Linked DNA regions of Drosophila melanogaster. The protein of the gene in region 2 interacts with the protein of the main gene of each other region in a pairwise test. Each region holds a gene or a part of one and is shown on either strand. Other genes may lie near its edges.

The links.
Region 1: the proteins of Rim2 (region 2) and E(spl)m3-HLH interact in a two-hybrid assay, tested with the Drosophila melanogaster proteins (one large-scale study listed by BioGRID).

The regions. Positions count from the first base shown.
Region 1 is NT_033777.3:26,019,000-26,025,717, reverse strand, and holds E(spl)m3-HLH (enhancer of split m3, helix-loop-helix), read right to left. Parts: upstream 3,896-6,718; 5' UTR 3,699-3,895; coding exon 3,024-3,698; 3' UTR 2,591-3,023; downstream 1-2,590. Other genes in the region: E(spl)m4-BFM (enhancer of split m4, bearded family member), read left to right, coding at 1,225-1,683.
Region 2 is NT_033779.5:1,717,199-1,727,702, forward strand, and holds the start of Rim2 (replication in mitochondria 2), read right to left. Parts: upstream 7,191-10,504; 5' UTR 6,731-7,190; coding exon 6,684-6,730; intron 1,706-6,683; coding exon 1,477-1,705; intron 1,294-1,476; coding exon 1,223-1,293; intron 1,161-1,222; coding exon 1,029-1,160; intron 954-1,028; coding exon 680-953; intron 618-679; coding exon 400-617; intron 32-399; coding exon 1-31. Other genes in the region: Eno (enolase), read right to left, coding at 8,143-9,457, 10,448-10,504.

The DNA.
Region 1 (6,718 bases), on a different chromosome or scaffold from region 2:
GCCTACAACTTCTCACCGAGGAGTCCTGCTTAATTTGTCCCAACTCACACCGGGTTCCAAATATTTATGGTTAAGTCAGAGGACAATCCATTAAGTACGCCAAAGATATCCAGAGGGAGCCGAGACACAAAAAGCCGAAAGAAATCCTGGGAAACCTTGGCTTCAGCGCCTCACGCGCCATCAACGATCCACAAATAAAAAAAGAAGAAGGAGCCACACAAAAAAGATCAGGCGCTCGCTGTGCGTGTGCTCCTCCAACGATGTACTCGTGGTCCTGCTCCTCCTTCCCTCTTACATATTTTTTACCCATCATAATACGAATCGGTCCCCTGCTAATTGTGTGCCATCAGCAACAGAAATTAAAAGCAACTCCTTCGTCGACGATCCTTGTCCTCCAGCTCCTTTGCCATCTCGCTCCTTCGGGCAACGCCTCGCCTCCACATACAATTTGATAAATTTCAAATTACAGCGCATTAAATGCTCGCAGTTAAGGATTCCTGGTCCCTCGTCTGGGATCTGTGTGCCCCCTACTCCATCAAATTCTACGGATTGTTTGCCTATTGAGCTATTTTATCTTCTGGTTTCGGGCATTAATTGTTCGCCTCCGTTCGAGCGTTGAAAATTGAAAATATTCTCCCACGTTCTCGAGCTGCACACGTGTTCGAGAAATGGAAAACGGATTTCCCCCGCCCCCCGGCTCCATCATTGTCCGTCCCGCTCGCACTGCCTACATAATGAGATAAGTGCACATAAAAACCAAAAGTGATCGGCAGAAAAAGGGAAAAAAACGAATCTCCTTGTCAAAAAGGATCCTTTCGAACCGAAACTGTGGGAACTGGTAGAAAGTCTCGTTTCTCACGATCCTGCAGCAGGATAAAATTGCCCGCACCTTCAACAGGTGCGAGCGGAGCGACACTACATGCCGTCACACTCCGACGCACGCAGGTTAATGCCGATGCAGTCCCTTTTCGAAAAACACACCTGCCGTTTTTGTTGTTGCCTCGCCATGTATCCGCACTGTGTATAGGATTTTTCGGGACACGTATCCTTGTAGTTTCCCACACTCGGTGTTTTGTGACCTGCTCGGCTTCGGGTTTCTCCACGTCCTGGCGAGTATAAAAGGACCCTGGCTCGGAGGATCAGGCATCATTCGAGCTCAACGCTTCGTACAGTACACATCTCAGCTACACAGCAGCTAAACACAAAATTCCAAAACACATCATCATGTGCCAGAACAAGATCAACACCAACAACACCATGACCATCAAATCGAACAAGAAGCTGTCCTACAGCGTGAAGAAACTGCTGCAGAAGATCTTCAAGCAGCAACAGCGCGTCGAGGAGGAGCAGAACCTCAAGAACGCCCTCAAGGCCAACTCTTTGGAGTCTCTGGAATCCATGGAAAACAGCCGCAACGCCGATCTGGAATCCGCCTCCATCTGCGCCTCTCTGGAGTCCTGCGAGAACGAGGCCAACGAGCGTCTCTCCCAGTCCTGCGAAATTGAGGACTACGACTTCGAGCAACTGCCCACCGTTCCCGTTCACTTCGTCCGCACCGCTCACGGCACATTCTTCTGGACCGCCGTCTCCGATTTGCCAGCCGACAACGACCTCGTCGAGCCCCTCTACTGCAGCACCTCCAACGCCATCGCTATCCCCCAGGATCGTTGGGTTCAGGCCTAAAAAATATCAGCGTCCTGCAACCTGCATCCATCATCCGGCAACTATGTCTTCCATTGGATCTCCAGCTTTAATCAACGTCTTCCGTTAATTTTTGAAACCATTCCACAAAAATTAACACGCAAGCCGATCAACTCAACTGAAGAGCTTTACAAAAATTGTGATACATTTTACTTAACAAACACAAAAAAATCAAAATATATATACAATTTAAATGAAATCAACCACTGTTTTTTTTACTTTTAATCATTGATAAATCGTATGAAATGGGCCTTCTCTTAAATCACACATTTGGAAATTGGTAATCTTTACCAAAAATTGTGTTACATTTCACCCAAAAAAAAAATAATTGAATAGGAATCTAAATTCTTTGTTTCCCCCTTATTGTTCCAACAATTTTCCGTTTACAAATCAACACAGAAAATAAATGGGGAGCGAAGTCCTTTCTTAATTGGCATGACTCATTTGAAAAACGAGCGGACCCTAATCCGATTCGATCCTGAACCTTTTTTGGTCTTATTGTTGATCAATTTACCTGCCAGCAGGTAGTGCATATTGACGGTTGTTGTTTGGCCTGTTGATTTGGACCACAATGCCAACCAGTTATCGGGCAGGTAGAGAGGATCTGTTGATTGCCGATCAGATTGGTGGTAAGAACAGGCTCCAATTAGATGATCTGCTTATGGGAATGAATCAGGGTCGAGTCGAAAATGTGTTGCATACATTTGAGGTGATGTTCAATTAAAGGTAATTTATTGGGGCAGTAAACAACATTGGCGGACTGGGACAAGAATGAACAGTATTCCGTTAGGTTTGCATAATATCGTTCAGTTTGTTTATATTTATTAATATAACAAAATAAATATTTTATAAAATTTTGAAATCCCGCAAAAGAAAAACATTGTGTTTTCAATTTAAATCATTTATTTTATTTGGGTAGTGTATTTTTGATTATTCTTTCTCAACTAATCATAAATTAACATTTATAAATTATTTAAAGCTTAATATATGCTAAACAATAAAGAGAGCGCAACGAGATATTAAACTTAGGGAACTTTTGGAGTAGGAAAATAGCGCACTCGAATATATATTCACTGATTGATTGATCAACGTACTTTAGTTATATCACAGTTGAAATTAAACAATTAATTTACAAATTACCATTATCGGAACTAAAACTAAAAGTATTTCAAAACCATTCAGAAATCGATTAGACCTCAATTAACTTAGGTTGATATGATTTACTTTGGAAGACAACGGATCTTGTTGCAGAACGGTCAATAGCCATTTTTTTGGGTTGCGATTATAATATTAGGGATAAGATCCATATTGGGCACGCCCAATTACCAGGGCCTCCAGACGGGCTCAGAGGCGCCGGACTCCTGCGAGCTAACCGACGCCGTCTCGGATAACGCATTGCCATCGACGGATGTCACATCGATCAGTTCGTCCTTGCTGGTCAGGAAGGAGCTGTAACTAATGGCGGCAGCGGCGGCTGCCGGTCCATATCCTCCCAGCAGCGGGAAGGCTAGGCGGCCTGATGATTGCGGTATTTGCTGCTGCTGGTGTTGTTGCTGTTGCTGCTGCTGCTGGAGCAACTGCGTCTGCAGCTCAATTAGTCGCGTCGATAGGAATTTCATTATCTTGCGCCCAATCTCATCGGTTTGCTGTGTCTGCAGCAGGACCTGGGTAATCTGATCGGCAGCATGCACATAGCCGGAGCGAAAGGACTCCACGTGGGCGGTACTGGTTGAGGTGGGTGGGCTGCCAACACCAGCCACTACTCCCTGCAGCGAAAGACCACCCCGCTGCTTGAGTTTCCTCATGTGATCCACGGTCAACTCCAGGATATCCGCCTTCTCCAGCCGGGTGACGTGCTCGCCCTCCTGCTGCAGGCACTCCACCATCAGATCCTTGAGATCGTCCAGACACTTGTTGATCCTGGCTCGCCGTTTGCGCTCCAGCAGCGGCTTCATCACCTTGCGGTACTGATACGTCTTGGACATCTCCATGACCATGATCGATTGGGTTGTTTTATGTTGTGTATTTTAAGGATTGTTCTTTTGTATTTAGTCTCTCAACTGCACATTATCACTACTGATTTTGGTTGGTTTCATAGATTGGTTACTTTTTGACGAGTTTGTTGCGCGTGCGTTGCGCGTTCCACCGATTGCGGTGCGTTCGAGTGGCGGCACTTTTACGAAATGAGTGGCAAACTAGTTCCCAGCCCTACTTTTATATGACAGCCACGCTCTCCCGGCAAACGGGGATCAGGCTCTCCCGGCCACAAAGCTCCCGCATGATCACTCACACACGCTCCCAGGCACTCGGGCCCAAGATCGAGTTCCACTTCGGTTCTTTTCGGTCGCGGATCGGTAGCGGCGCTCGGCAGCGGCACAAAGAGAGGCTACTGTAGGCCATCGATGATGGGGGTTGTACCGTCTGCAGGGGGTACAGTGGGACCATCACCATGGAACTCTTTACCTTCTTAATTATGCTTATTATAAAAAATAAGAAATAATCCATTTTAGCAATGCGAATATAATATCAATATTTTTCATTTCCAATAGTGTTAAATTTGTGTTCTTTATATTTTGCTACAACTATTTTTTATATGACTCTCAAAAGTATGCAACATAATTGTTCAACCAAAAGGACGATTTAAAAATTTGCTAAATTTTAAGACCTGAAAGAAAGCAATTTCAAAAAATATTAATCACTTACAAAGTTAATAAAACTGCAATTATTTTCGTAAAATCTGCTTATTGAAAGTAATACTATTAGTCCAAAATTAGTATTATTAACCGAAACTAGTCGACTTCGAACCAAGGTGCATGCAATGGGAGCGAGCGAGAGCGTGCCCCGCCGCAGATACAAATGTATCTGTATCTGCAGCTTTGGTGCTCTGGCGCGCGTCGTCTTCAATTGATTGCATGGCCAGAGGGAAACTGAGCAGTCGGCAGTCGACAGTCGGCTTTCGGATTGGATCTCATTCTCGGCGACTGCGCGTGTCTCTCAGGCCGCTCCACCCCGCCCTCCATCCCCCCTCATCCATGTCATACTTATTGTCAATGATGACAGTGCTCGGCTCCCATTCGCTGTCGAAGTCCGCTGCTCCGTACCGCTCACACCAACAATGAGAATGAGACACGAGGGAGCCTACGAGGCAGTAGCCTATGTGATTGTGGGTCCCATGGCTCAGTGGATGGGGATGGGTGTTTGTGTGTGTGTGCGGTGTGCCTACTTTACGAGACCGTGGGAAACAGATTTGTCGTGTGTTTCCCACACGTTGGACGGATGGCTGGATTGTGATGCGATCCGATGGATTGCTGAAATGTTGTTGCTGTTGCTGCTGGTTGATTTCAAGCGGGTTGACTGTCAGCCGCCAATGGGGGGCAGTGGGCGAACTGGTGAGGGATGGCTGGGTGGAGGGGCAGCCTTAACTCGCGCAATTATGTCGCATGCTTGGCTGATGATGATGACTGCGACAACTGCACGTGGACAAAATGTGCGGTCTTTTTGGGAGTTTAAAGTAGATTTGAAACAATTTCAATAACAGCAACTATGTTAATTACCAATAAATATAGATCACCCCATTTCGGAAGAATGGAAAATATATATATTTTGATATTTTACTTATAACCGAATTCAAATGTAATCAGTTTTTTTTTTTAAGTTTTCAAATATTTCTCACAGTGCACAACCACCACTATGGCTGGGGCTGTGGGTTGACTTTTCGTTGAAGCGTATCGATTAAGTGTAACAGTTTCGCTATCTCGGCGCATTGGGGGTTCCAAAATGAAAGAAATAAAACTCTTTTTGCATAGTCCGATTACCAACCCTTCGGCATTTGTCGCCTTTCGTAATAAACTTTAACATCCGGTTGTCGTTCTAAGATTCGTTTTTCGCCCGTCCTCCACATATTTCTTTTAATTCGCTGATCTCAGGGCTACTGGTCAGCACTGAGTGTATAAAATGTTGCCTGTTTTTTATGCCCCTTTTTTCACAGCTGCTGTTGGGCCGACTTTATCACCATCGCAGCAATATGACACTTGTGGTTGGACGCCTCGGAGTTATTTTTTGTGGCCGTGCTTTTTGCCTGGCTAAGCATTTCCCATGATGCTGCAGAATCGCTCTGTTTGTTTGTCTTCTGGCCATGACTTCCGTTAGCCGTTTGGCTTGACTTGGCTTGCCTTTCTGCTGACTGGAGCCATAACAATTAAGACTCTCAAGGCATTTCGATGGTTCGCCTTTCAAGATGCCTCAACTTTCAACTCGACCGGCACACGTGGCGTATGAGTAATGCGAATATGCAAAATAATCACGCAGACACCGATGGACAGAAATAGAGAGACCGCAAAACCATTTTCGACTAACCTCAATGCACACTAATTGCTTGTCATATATGCCCGTCTGTTTGTCTGCCGATGTATATATAGTTTTGCACAAAACTTGTTGCCATCGCCAGTCGTGTGAACCAAAAGCTTAAAAGCCAAATAGTTGCTGATGGGTAAAGGCAGTCTTGACGGGTCATCGATTAGCGAATTGCCAATGCTCTTGAGAGATATAATAAATTACATTAAGTCCCCATTAAGATAACTAGTACTAGTCTGTAAATTAAAAAATTTTAAGTAAACATATGATATTTAATATTAATATTATAACAGCAGTTTCCTAGCATATCATGAAAGTCATATCTTCCTGAATCTATGTTCATATGTCCCAAAGACCCATATAAGAGAGAGTATGAATCGCCTAACGACTACCAGAGTCCGTTGCTGAAAGGCACAAGCCCAGGCACAAGCTGGCCTCTGTTGGAGCTGCAATCGCAATCGCAGTTGGAGTCGGTGCTGGCTTGGAAGTCGCGCTACGAGTTGGAGTCTCAGCCGGTGTCCGTGTTGCCAAGTCAGTCGCTTTCAATTTGGCAAACGTGCAGTTCAAAGCCTAGACGCTGATTGGGGGCAAAAGTGCGCGGGCTGGTGGGGTAAGGGAAGTGCTGGTGGTGTTTCAGCCAAGATTAATAGCGGCCAAAGGCAAC
Region 2 (10,504 bases):
AATCTGTCGCACCAGCTGCGTGGCCAAGCCTCTGTGGAAATAGTTGGTAAAGTTTACAATTAGTAGGAGAATTTGCTAAGGTAGAGCTCTCATATATAAAACACCTCGAGTGAGCACGCTCGAGAGTGATAATCAAATTAAGGTAAACAAACAAAAAATATGCGACGCAAAAGAATTTAAATAGATTTCACGAATTCGTGGGTGGCACATTATGATAATTCATTAGCTTATATGTATATGTTTCTTATATACATGTCGGAGTGCAAGTGGGATTCCCTTCGATTCTATTTCAAGACGGATTCAAGGGAACTACACGAACAAGGGAATCCCTAAGTACAAGTTGATTGCCTTAATGTCGTATCAAATTGAAAATTCACTCTGCTCATCTATTTTACCCACCTGTAGAGTCCTGCTCTGCCCTCCTCCTTCCAAACAGTGTGCAGGGTCTGCCAGAAGGAGTTGTATTTGTTGCCCTCCTCCCGCAGACGAGTGCGTGCCACTTCGTGGGGATAGGCGATGCAGGAGGCGATGGTTTTGGAAACAGCGCCAGCCATCATGAACTCCAGAAAGTCGCGGGATCCCTTGGTGTCCGTATGCCGCTGATTTCGCTGCTCTAGCTGTTTGTGAAAGCGATTTTAAGTCGGAGGGAAACTAGTGCGCATTAAATTCAACTACTTACCAACTTGGACTTGATAAACTCGTAGATGACAAAGTGCACCATCGTCTCGCAGATTCCAAAGTAGCTGGCCGTGATGCCCTTGTAGAAGGCCGCCACGCCTCCCTGGGCGTACACCCTCTCGATGCACTGCCTCACGGTCATCTGCACCTTGGAGTTGTAGTCCAGCTGCATTCGCGTCTTCACAAACCAAATGGGATTCGTTGCCGTGGAGGAGACAAAGCCGGCACTCGCTGCACTCATGATGTGCACCAGTGGCGAGTCACGTTCAACAAAGCTGGGGATCAAGTCCAGGCATTAATTTGGTGCTGCTCGGCTAGATGTACACACAGTGTACCAAAACCAGACTTACCCCAGACTGTTGAGCGTGTTTTTGGTTTGCGAGTAGGTGCAGAAGTAAATGGCACGGGATGGGGCCACGCCCACGAGATTCGGACCCAGACCCTTGAACAGGGCGCGTGGACCCTCGTTCTGGACAATGTGCCTGCAGGAGCAGCTCGATGCATTATAGTAACTGGCAGTTGATGGAAGCTAGGGTGAACTTACCGCAGGCACTGCACGATGCTCATGGATTTGGGCGTTGTGGATGAGATGCCGCAGTGTGAAATGGCCATGATCTGCAAGGCAAAAACAGGTGAGTTAGTAAACCAGTCGCATCCAGACTAGAGGCAATGGAGATGAAGGCAACGACGCATCGAAGTTGTTCGAGACCACTCCATTTCGTGGGCTTAGCTTGTTAGGATGCAGTGGCGGTGGGTTAGATGGGCGATGAGAGAATAGGTAAAAGAAGTTGGTACTACCCTACGCACACCCCCAATCACCTGTGGCTGTGATCTGTTACGTAATATCGTTGTGCTTAGCTTACGTCGTTGTTCCGGCCGCAGCAGCTCCGATTGGCCACCGTTCGCCGGTCCTCCTCCGGCATTCTCCGCCAGCCGCGACGGCGTCATGAACGCCGTGGAGCTCTGCAGGCGAGTCTTCACCACCTCCAGGGGGCATGTGACAACGGCACCCACTGTGCCAGCGGATCTGTGCGGATGAAAATGAAACATCAAAACATGCCCAGTTAGTAAAATCTCTTCGAAATCCTCATCCAAGCAGGAATAAATCACAAAAGTTACATTTCCCACTATCAATTCTTTTAGTTCTTTGACTTTGACGTTTCTTAAATTGCCTGAAAGACTTAAATAGAACAAAAAAAAAAGTACATATATTCCTCCCCATTTTCAATGGCAAGTGCTCAACTATGAATAACACGAAAATAAATCTCATTTGGCAATCAAGCGGGCAGAAAAATATCTATTTCCCAAACTCGTATTTCTTGGATTTGCGCAATACGCCGGCTAAAAATGTGCTTCCATTCCGTGCATATAGTATAGTATAGTATAGCACCACCACTCGAGTAGCTTGTCCCATTCCATTCCATTTCGACTTAAGTGGTGGCCACCATTGATTGGCTGCATCGGAAATGAGTAGCGTTTTGCCAAATGCCTGATGCAATGGAGGGGTTTTGGGCTGGGAAAATCACGTAGGAGCGGGCATGAAAGAAGGAGGAGCCGTTGTCCACCAAGTAGCCGAGCGAATTACAGAATATTTTCCAATTCGATGCGTTGCAAATTCCAAGTGCATGTAACGCAAGGTCGGTCGATTGTTTACTGAACTGCGAAATGGCCTAAGAAGATGCAAATGAAATGTGTGAAGAAATGATTTGCAGCAGTCAGAATTTAGACTATTTATCACTGAACTAGCTAATGCCACCGTAACCTTGACTTTCGTTTCGCAAAAGATTAATAATTAATGTTTACACGGCGGCAAAAGAGTGCCCCAAAAAATTAATTATACACGACCTTTCCCAAAAAGATAGCTTTTTATCAATAGGGTAAGTTTGCTATCTAGAAATATATTGTATGAGCACATGTTTGCAGAAGCATAGCTCGTGATCGCCAACTTGTGAATCAGTAGTTGGCAACTGGGAATTGTGAAATTAAATAGCTATGTACACATAATCGGCGGCTAAAAGCTCGCGAAAGGGGAAAAGGTTATGCAACTCAGAAGTGGAAATGAAATGACAGAGAAAGGAGGCCAGAAGTTTGATCGATGGGCACAGATACTTTGGGCACAGACACGAATGGCTCCCCTAATCCTGGAGCAATAAAATAGTAAAAATAACAACATTTAATCAGACGTCTGCCTCGTTTGATTTCGCAAATCTGTAGGAGATTGCTGCGATTCCCGGCTATTCAAATCCGGTGCGAACTGGTTGCGAATTGACCCGGCTCCACGCTCGATAACCTTTGATGCCTGCCAGCGAATGAATTGCACTGACCGGACAAAAGCAGCCTCTTATCAGCCAGGGAGTCTATCTGTGAGCCACGTCCACCGGGCACAGAACGGAGCACTTCTATGGCTGCCCGATCCACCTCGAATCTGGTATGCATAATGACTGTGACATAATGGCTTTGCGGCCTGCGGAACCTGCGGCCAATTAACATGCCATATGCTGCCTTTTGGTCACTTCATCTGGATAGAGCTTCCCTTCATCGCTCCAGCCCAACCACCATGATACGCATTTGATCAATGCACTAACGGGTTCCAATTAGCATCTGGCTGGCACATCACGCGAGAATTAAGCTAACTGCTACCCATTCCACGTGAGCCGAAGGTAATTTACCCAGACAGTTGGACAAACAATTCAGTGGAACGATTAATGAATCGATTCACCACTTGCATGTGATGAACTAGAATTGAGGGGTATGAATATTAGAGGGTATCCTATAGCTATACCATTTAGCAATAAATCAGGCAAGAGTGCCAGTCATGCTTGTGAGCTGAGATTAATAGCTCCACAAAGTAGCTCGCAGTATAAGTTCATTCGCAAATAAATCCCTCAATAAATATTGGGTCAAGTACTTAGTTTCTCTGTGGCCCAATTAGTAAGGTTTACAACTGCATCCAAGTACGTTCAGTCCGATCACACATATATTCAGATCTATATATATGCACTTAGCTATGCCCGATCGATGGCCTTTGGCGACGCATGTGCGAGAATCGTGCCATTTGCAACCAGTTAATGTGCGATTTATCTGTTCCTTGACATTCCTGCCGAAAAAACACACACGTTGCCGAGATAAGAGCGGAAATTTTGGACCCGCAGACATCGTCTATGGGGGATACGTAAATACAGAAGGGGAGTTGAGTGATAATACCGCTGGGCGGCAATGCGTCAGCTCTGCTGGGGTGACTTTTGTCCAACTGCTCGAGGAAGGGCAGCCCCCCACACACACACACATTATACACACATAGACGACTGATAAAGACAACTTTTCGGGAAGCCTTTCCTTATCAACGCAAATATAGTACGCCATTTTCAATGGTTTTGGCATTTCGCAGACCTAGGCTCCCATCTTATCAATGCCGCTTTTATTTTCACGTTTTTTCTTTGGCTCCTGCTGCCTTTGGCTTCTTTGAGATGGATTACGAAATCTATGGAAAGTTTTCAATGTTATTGTTTATGGGTCAAAGGAATCGAGGGTTACGAACGAGCTCTGTGCTCTCTAATTCTAGACTAGAATAATAATGTTTTCCTATTAATTTCGAATAACTCTTGGCACGCGATCTTCTATATGATCACCGAATTTTCATTCGCATTTCTCGCTTCCGTATAAATATATATATATATATATTCTGAAATATCAGAATGTGTGTCTAGATCAAGAGTGTTATAAAAAAAGACGCCCTTGACACAATTTCAGTGCGCCAATGGGCTTTACAATAAATCTTAATATCATATCGAAAGTTCAAAGATTAAAATATACCATTTCCATTGAAGTGACTTTCTTATGCTTATTGCAACCTTTCAAAAAAGGTGCTCTTTTCAAAATATGCGTACGTGCAGAGAGACACGTCTGAAAACCGGGCGAGGAATATACTTTTTTTTTTTTTTTTGAATATTTTGACCTGGTCGAGCAAGATACAAACAAATGCCAGCCGATGGAAAAGTTTGGAATAATGAAACTATGTGAGAAAGCGCGTTACTATATCTTATTTGAACTGCAGACGAGGAATCGAAAGAGCAATGTGCACCTTGTAGCCATAGTGACATTGCTATTATCCCCCCAAAAACCTCATCGAACACCTTGGGATCTGTTGTTTGTTGCATTCCCCACTCGCCTTCAACTGAGTCAGTGTCCCAGAAAAAGTTTATTTGCCTGTGCTGTCTCGCTGAGAACCAAAACAAATTCGAAATCGCTTGCCAAGCTCAATTTAGAATTGTTTTTAGCTAGTATGTAGGAAAATACAATGCACCATCTATTTTATATCATATATTCTATATTATATGTGGGCTATAGCGAAATCCGCAATATTAGTGTGCCAAATCAAAGATTTTAGGGAATAGATCAGACATTTCGCAACGCTGCTAATTGGCGATAGTAGGAAATATTTCACTATAAACACTAAGCTACAAATGGATATAAATTATAAATAAAGTAAACTGTTTTCCGATCTTAGAACAATGTTAGCTGTGCAGTTCCTTAATAGTAATGTGCACTGCCCCTCTTCAACTTATGTAAGCCCCTTGGAGGCCTCTGATGCCCGATTAGATGGATGTCGTTTGATTGTTTGCCGTGCGGCTTACTTGCTGCGATAGCATTGTGTGGCGGGGAGGCAAGGTTGTTACGCCTTTCGATTTGTTTTCGCAACGTGTACCAACACGAGATACCCGGCAAGCGACGACAAGTGGAAGGCGGCCAGAACAACTGGGGTATTAGCCAGCTCAGGTTGCAACGTGCAGCGTATTTCCAGCCCACTAAAGTATATACTACGCATATGTGCAGCGACTCGTTAGATACGGACACGGATACATACGGACATGGATACATACGGACATGGGTGGGTGCCACAACTGTGTGGTTGCTTTTTTCCCCCGCTGATAAGTGGACTTGCACTGCCGGCCGGCAAATTGCCCGGAGAGACTTGATTGCCACTGTGGCGGGGCATTAGAAGTGCCATTCAGCGGAATTATTATAGGTGGGGGGTCATGCTATCAAAGGCCTTCACCAAGGCCACCCGCGTCGATCAAAAGTTGTCAGAAACGGTGAGCTGTTGTTTTTATAAAGTGGAAATCTGGATTGCAGTCATAAGGAGCGAAGTATAGCAAATATTTTCTGTGGAAAAACTATCATGGACTAGGAGATACTTTATAAACAAACTCTATAAACACTTGTTTACTATCCCAAATATAAATATCAACAAAAATAAACTATTTAAAGCTGAGAGCTGTCAAGCATAAATAACAAAGTTCGTATTTCGAGCGTAATTCAATTGAAATGCGATCGTTTCCCGACTGACCAGGGGCTCGACTTGGGATCGATTCTCGATCGCTGGAAACTGGTTTTCCGCTGGGCAAACTAATGTGGAAGAACTAATGTGCCGGCCATTGTGTGTGTAGGGTGCAGGTGAAAACAAAAATAAATTCAGATGCGACGCGTCTAAAAATAGCCGCATATAAAAGCCACAATAAAAGTCCATAAGGGAAACAACAACAAAGCAATTGCCTGTCCAGGGGAATCGGAATGAATCCAAGTGGACATTGCCTGCGGAAAATGAACCCAGAAATGCGCTGTTTATGAATGTTTGTTCGCTGCAGGCGCGCTTTAATTAATTACATATGTTCTGCGTATTTCGCTCACTTTAGCTGCGATTTATCGAACAACAAATACCCTTCTTTTAATGCAAAGCACGTGAACGTAGCATGTTTCCCGAAGATCAGTTTGTGTTGTGTGTTTCCCTGCGCTGGCCGCATTTCTTTTTCGGTTTGCTCCCTTTTGGCAGTGGCGCCAAAATAGTTCAGCTCCCCTTCGTGGGCCAGCCCAAATCTAATCGCCAATTGCGCCGTTCCCGCCGAGCAATTACAATTAGAGGCCGGGAGCAAACCGGTTTCGTTCTACGCTGATGGCCTGACCTGCGATAAGACGCAGTAGGGAGAATGTCAGGCAGGCAGACTTACCCGCCGGCGATCAGGTGGATGAGAGTGTCGGCCGTGTTCTGGGCCATCTTCGTTGTCTTCCCAGTTCCGGAATAGGCTCCACCGAAATGGGCGGCTACTTGGACGCGCACTTGGTTTTAACTTTGGCAAAACGCACTATATTGTTAAGGCACTTTGTGGGCGGAGGTGTGGGGGGCGGGGCCCCAGGGGGAGGGGCTCTTAGCACGCTCTCCTCTCTTCCTCTTGCCACTTTCTATTGTCCTTTGAACTTTTGGGGCTTTCGCTTGGCCGCGATTCTCCGACTTTTCGACTTGATTTTCGGCAACGGTTATGCAACTGCAGTGGTTGCAGTGCTGAGCGTTAACTTAACCTACGGTTAGCTTGCGCGCAGTTAAAGTCCGTCGGTCGGCCGGTGCACTGATTCGATTTCGAGCTCGCCGATCCCTAGCGTTTGTGATTTAGCTTTGCATTAATTTATTTTCGATCCGATGTAAAAAAACACGTCCGTGAGAGTGACCGCACTGCGACTGTGGAAGCATACCGCCGCTGCGAGGCGCCAAGAAACGACCTAAAAAATACCAACAAACTGGGGAATTCAACGGTTCTGTGCGAAACTTTGAGCGCCATTTTGGTCCACCCTAGAAATTCAATTTTATTCACAGAAAGTTGAAAAAGCTTATTGAAATACTCGACTAATTGGTGGAAAGCAAAGATAAAGATAGAAAAAAGATCGTATTCAAAGTTTAATAACTTCATTCATCAGTTCAGAGATAATGAATAATTCAGATCCATTCAATCTTAATCCAAATCCAGAAAATGTTTTAAGATAGTTGCCTTTACTTTAGTTGCCCTTACTTGAGTTTACTTGATTATCTGGCAACGCCACAAGTGATCGAAGAAAAGAATTCAGTAACTTTTATACTTTTTATTTCACATCAACTAACAAATCTGAATATGTTTAATATTTGGTGTACTATTCCATCTGATTAAGATCTCTATTGAACACCGTGTATATTCGATAAGAATATTCCAACAGCTTTCGCTTAAATTCTATGTCTCAACAATTGTTTCATAACCGTTTTTGAAGTGAATAACTTGTCTGTTTGTGGATTTGGTGTTTGTGTAGATCAATTTATAATTTCATAACGATTACAGCGATTACATTGAAGATATTCAAAGCTCTCGGCAACTGAACGAATATCTTGCACATAGTGTTTTTTATTCTTTTGTTTATAAATAATGATTAGATCAAGGTTTAGCATTAATTAATAATGTCTAAGAACGAAGCATAGAGACAGCAAATGGGTTTGGTAGTTTAATTCTGATGTATTTGTGCGCCAGACACAAGTTCCGAACGTAAAAGGTTGACGAACACGTGCACCGCCGCCTTTCCATGGATCTACTGCGTCCAGCTCCCTCTCCAAGATCCAGATCTCATTCGATGGGGCTGGTGTGGTTGGAATTTCGAAGTGCCCTGCGCTTACTGCGGCTTCCTGAACGACTTGCCGGCGAACTTGACGCCAGCGCCGATCTCCTCCTCGATGCGCAGGATCTGGTTGTACTTGGCCAGACGCTCCGAGCGGCATGGAGCTCCGGTCTTGATCTGGCCGGTGGACAGACCGACGACCAGGTCACCGATGAACGAGTCCTCGGTCTCACCGGAACGGTGGGAGACCATGGTGCCCCAGCCGTTCTTCTTGGCCAGCAGATGGGCGGCAATGGACTCGGTGACGGTGCCGATCTGGTTGACCTTCAGGAGCAGGCAGTTGCAGGCCTTCTTCTCCACGGCGGTGGCAATACGCTTGGGGTTGGTCACGGTCAGATCATCGCCCACGATCTGGATGTCGGTGCAGCCGGTCAGGTTGGACCAGGCCTCCCAGTGGTCCTGGTCAAAGGGATCCTCAATCGAGACGATGGGGAAGTCCTTAATAAACTCCTGGTACAGGTTGGCCAGCTTGTCGGCGGGCAGCCACTGCGACTTGTCGCTCTTCTCGTTCTTGAAGTCCAGATCGTACTGGCCATCCTTGTAGAACTCGGAGGCGGCCACGTCCATGCCGATCTCGATCTTGCCGGTGTATCCGGCCTTGGCGATGGCATCGCTGATCAGGTTCAGAGCCTCCTTGTTGGACTGGATGTTGGGGGCGAAGCCGCCCTCATCGCCCACAGCGGTGGCGTCCAGACCGAACTTGGCCTTGATCACATTCTTCAGGTGGTGGTACACCTCGGAGCCCATCTTCATGGCCTCTGTGAAGCTGGTGGCGCCGGTGGGCAGGATCATGAACTCCTGCATGGCCAGCTTGTTGCCGGCGTGGCTGCCGCCGTTGATCACGTTGAAAGCGGGCACCGGCAGGATGATCTCCTTGTTGCCAGCCAGATCGGCAATGTGTTTGTACAGCGGCACGCCCTTCTTGGCGGCTCCAGCCTTGGCCACGGCCAGGGAAACGCCCAGGATGGCGTTGGCTCCGAACTTGCTCTTGTTCTCGGTGCCGTCCAACTTGATCATGAAGTTGTCAATGGACGCCTGGTCAACCACATCCAGATTGGCCTTGATCAGCTCGGGTCCCAGGGTGTCGTTCACATGGCCCACGGCCTTCAGCACCGACTTGCCATGGTAGTTGGCCTTGTCGTTGTCGCGCAGCTCCAGGGCCTCGTGGACGCCAGTGGAGGCGCCGGAGGGCACGGCGGCTCGGAAGAGTCCCAGCTCGGTGGTCAGGTCGACCTCCACGGTGGGGTTGCCACGGGAGTCGTAGATTTGACGGGCCTTGATCGCTTTGATGGTCATCTCGTTGCTGTCACTGAAATCAAAAAACAAAAAACAAAGTCCACGAGGGCGAATTAGTGTCTGTTATCAGGACTTTAAATCTAGGCATGGTGTTCTATTAAATAGCTGACCGCAGATGAAGCCATTCAGATTTTATGGCGGATGTGCTCCACAATATTTGCGAAATCCCCGCCATTACTTAAATAGTTGGGCTTATTTATATTTAAAATTGTTCCAAATGGACAGTTAAATGATATGTTTCGTGATGCAGTGAAATATTCGGAAATATGTCGAAAAAGAAATACGAACTAGAAAGGAAATGGGAGATACACCTTTGACATACTTTTGGACTTGGTTCTCAAAATATGGTTAGATATTAATAAAAAATTATTTTTTTTTGCAAAGAATTGTAGCTGTGAGCATGTAAGTCACTTGCAATTTGAGCTGTGAGTGGTGTAAACTTATACATATATCCCCATTCGGGTGTGACTTTCTCCACGGTATAATCTCGAAATGCCCCTCCTGAGTTTTCTATATTTAATTTGTCTTCAAATTTCAGTTAAATATTTCTATAATAATTTAGAGTCACTGACACTGGCGGCATTTCCCGCTTTTCCGCTTATCTCAGTGGGAGAGTTTTCAGTTTGCTCTCGCCGAACAACCGAATGACCTCTAAGCTACTTTTAAAGGTCAGACCCAAAGTGAGGCGTCCAGCGAAGCCGCAGTACGTGGAAAAGTTGCGAAAAACGGAAGTATCTCCCTACAGCGATACAACAAATGCCTGTCAATTGAAATTATTAGATTTGTGCAATTAAATCGATTGGAAATATACGTAAACGAGACACTTGAAAATTTGCACAGCACCATTTGTTAGATAATCGCGCGGATATCGCTCGCAAAAAACGCTCGATTTTCAAGCCCTTTCGATTGGGGTGATCTTTGTGAAGTTCGCAGATAAAACAATTAAATATTTTCCCTAAGCTGGATGCACAAGCACACACCAAGAGTCTAGCAATATACATACCAAGTACTTTTGCGGATCTGCACAAATTTAAATCCAGATGAGAGCTGGCTGACTGCT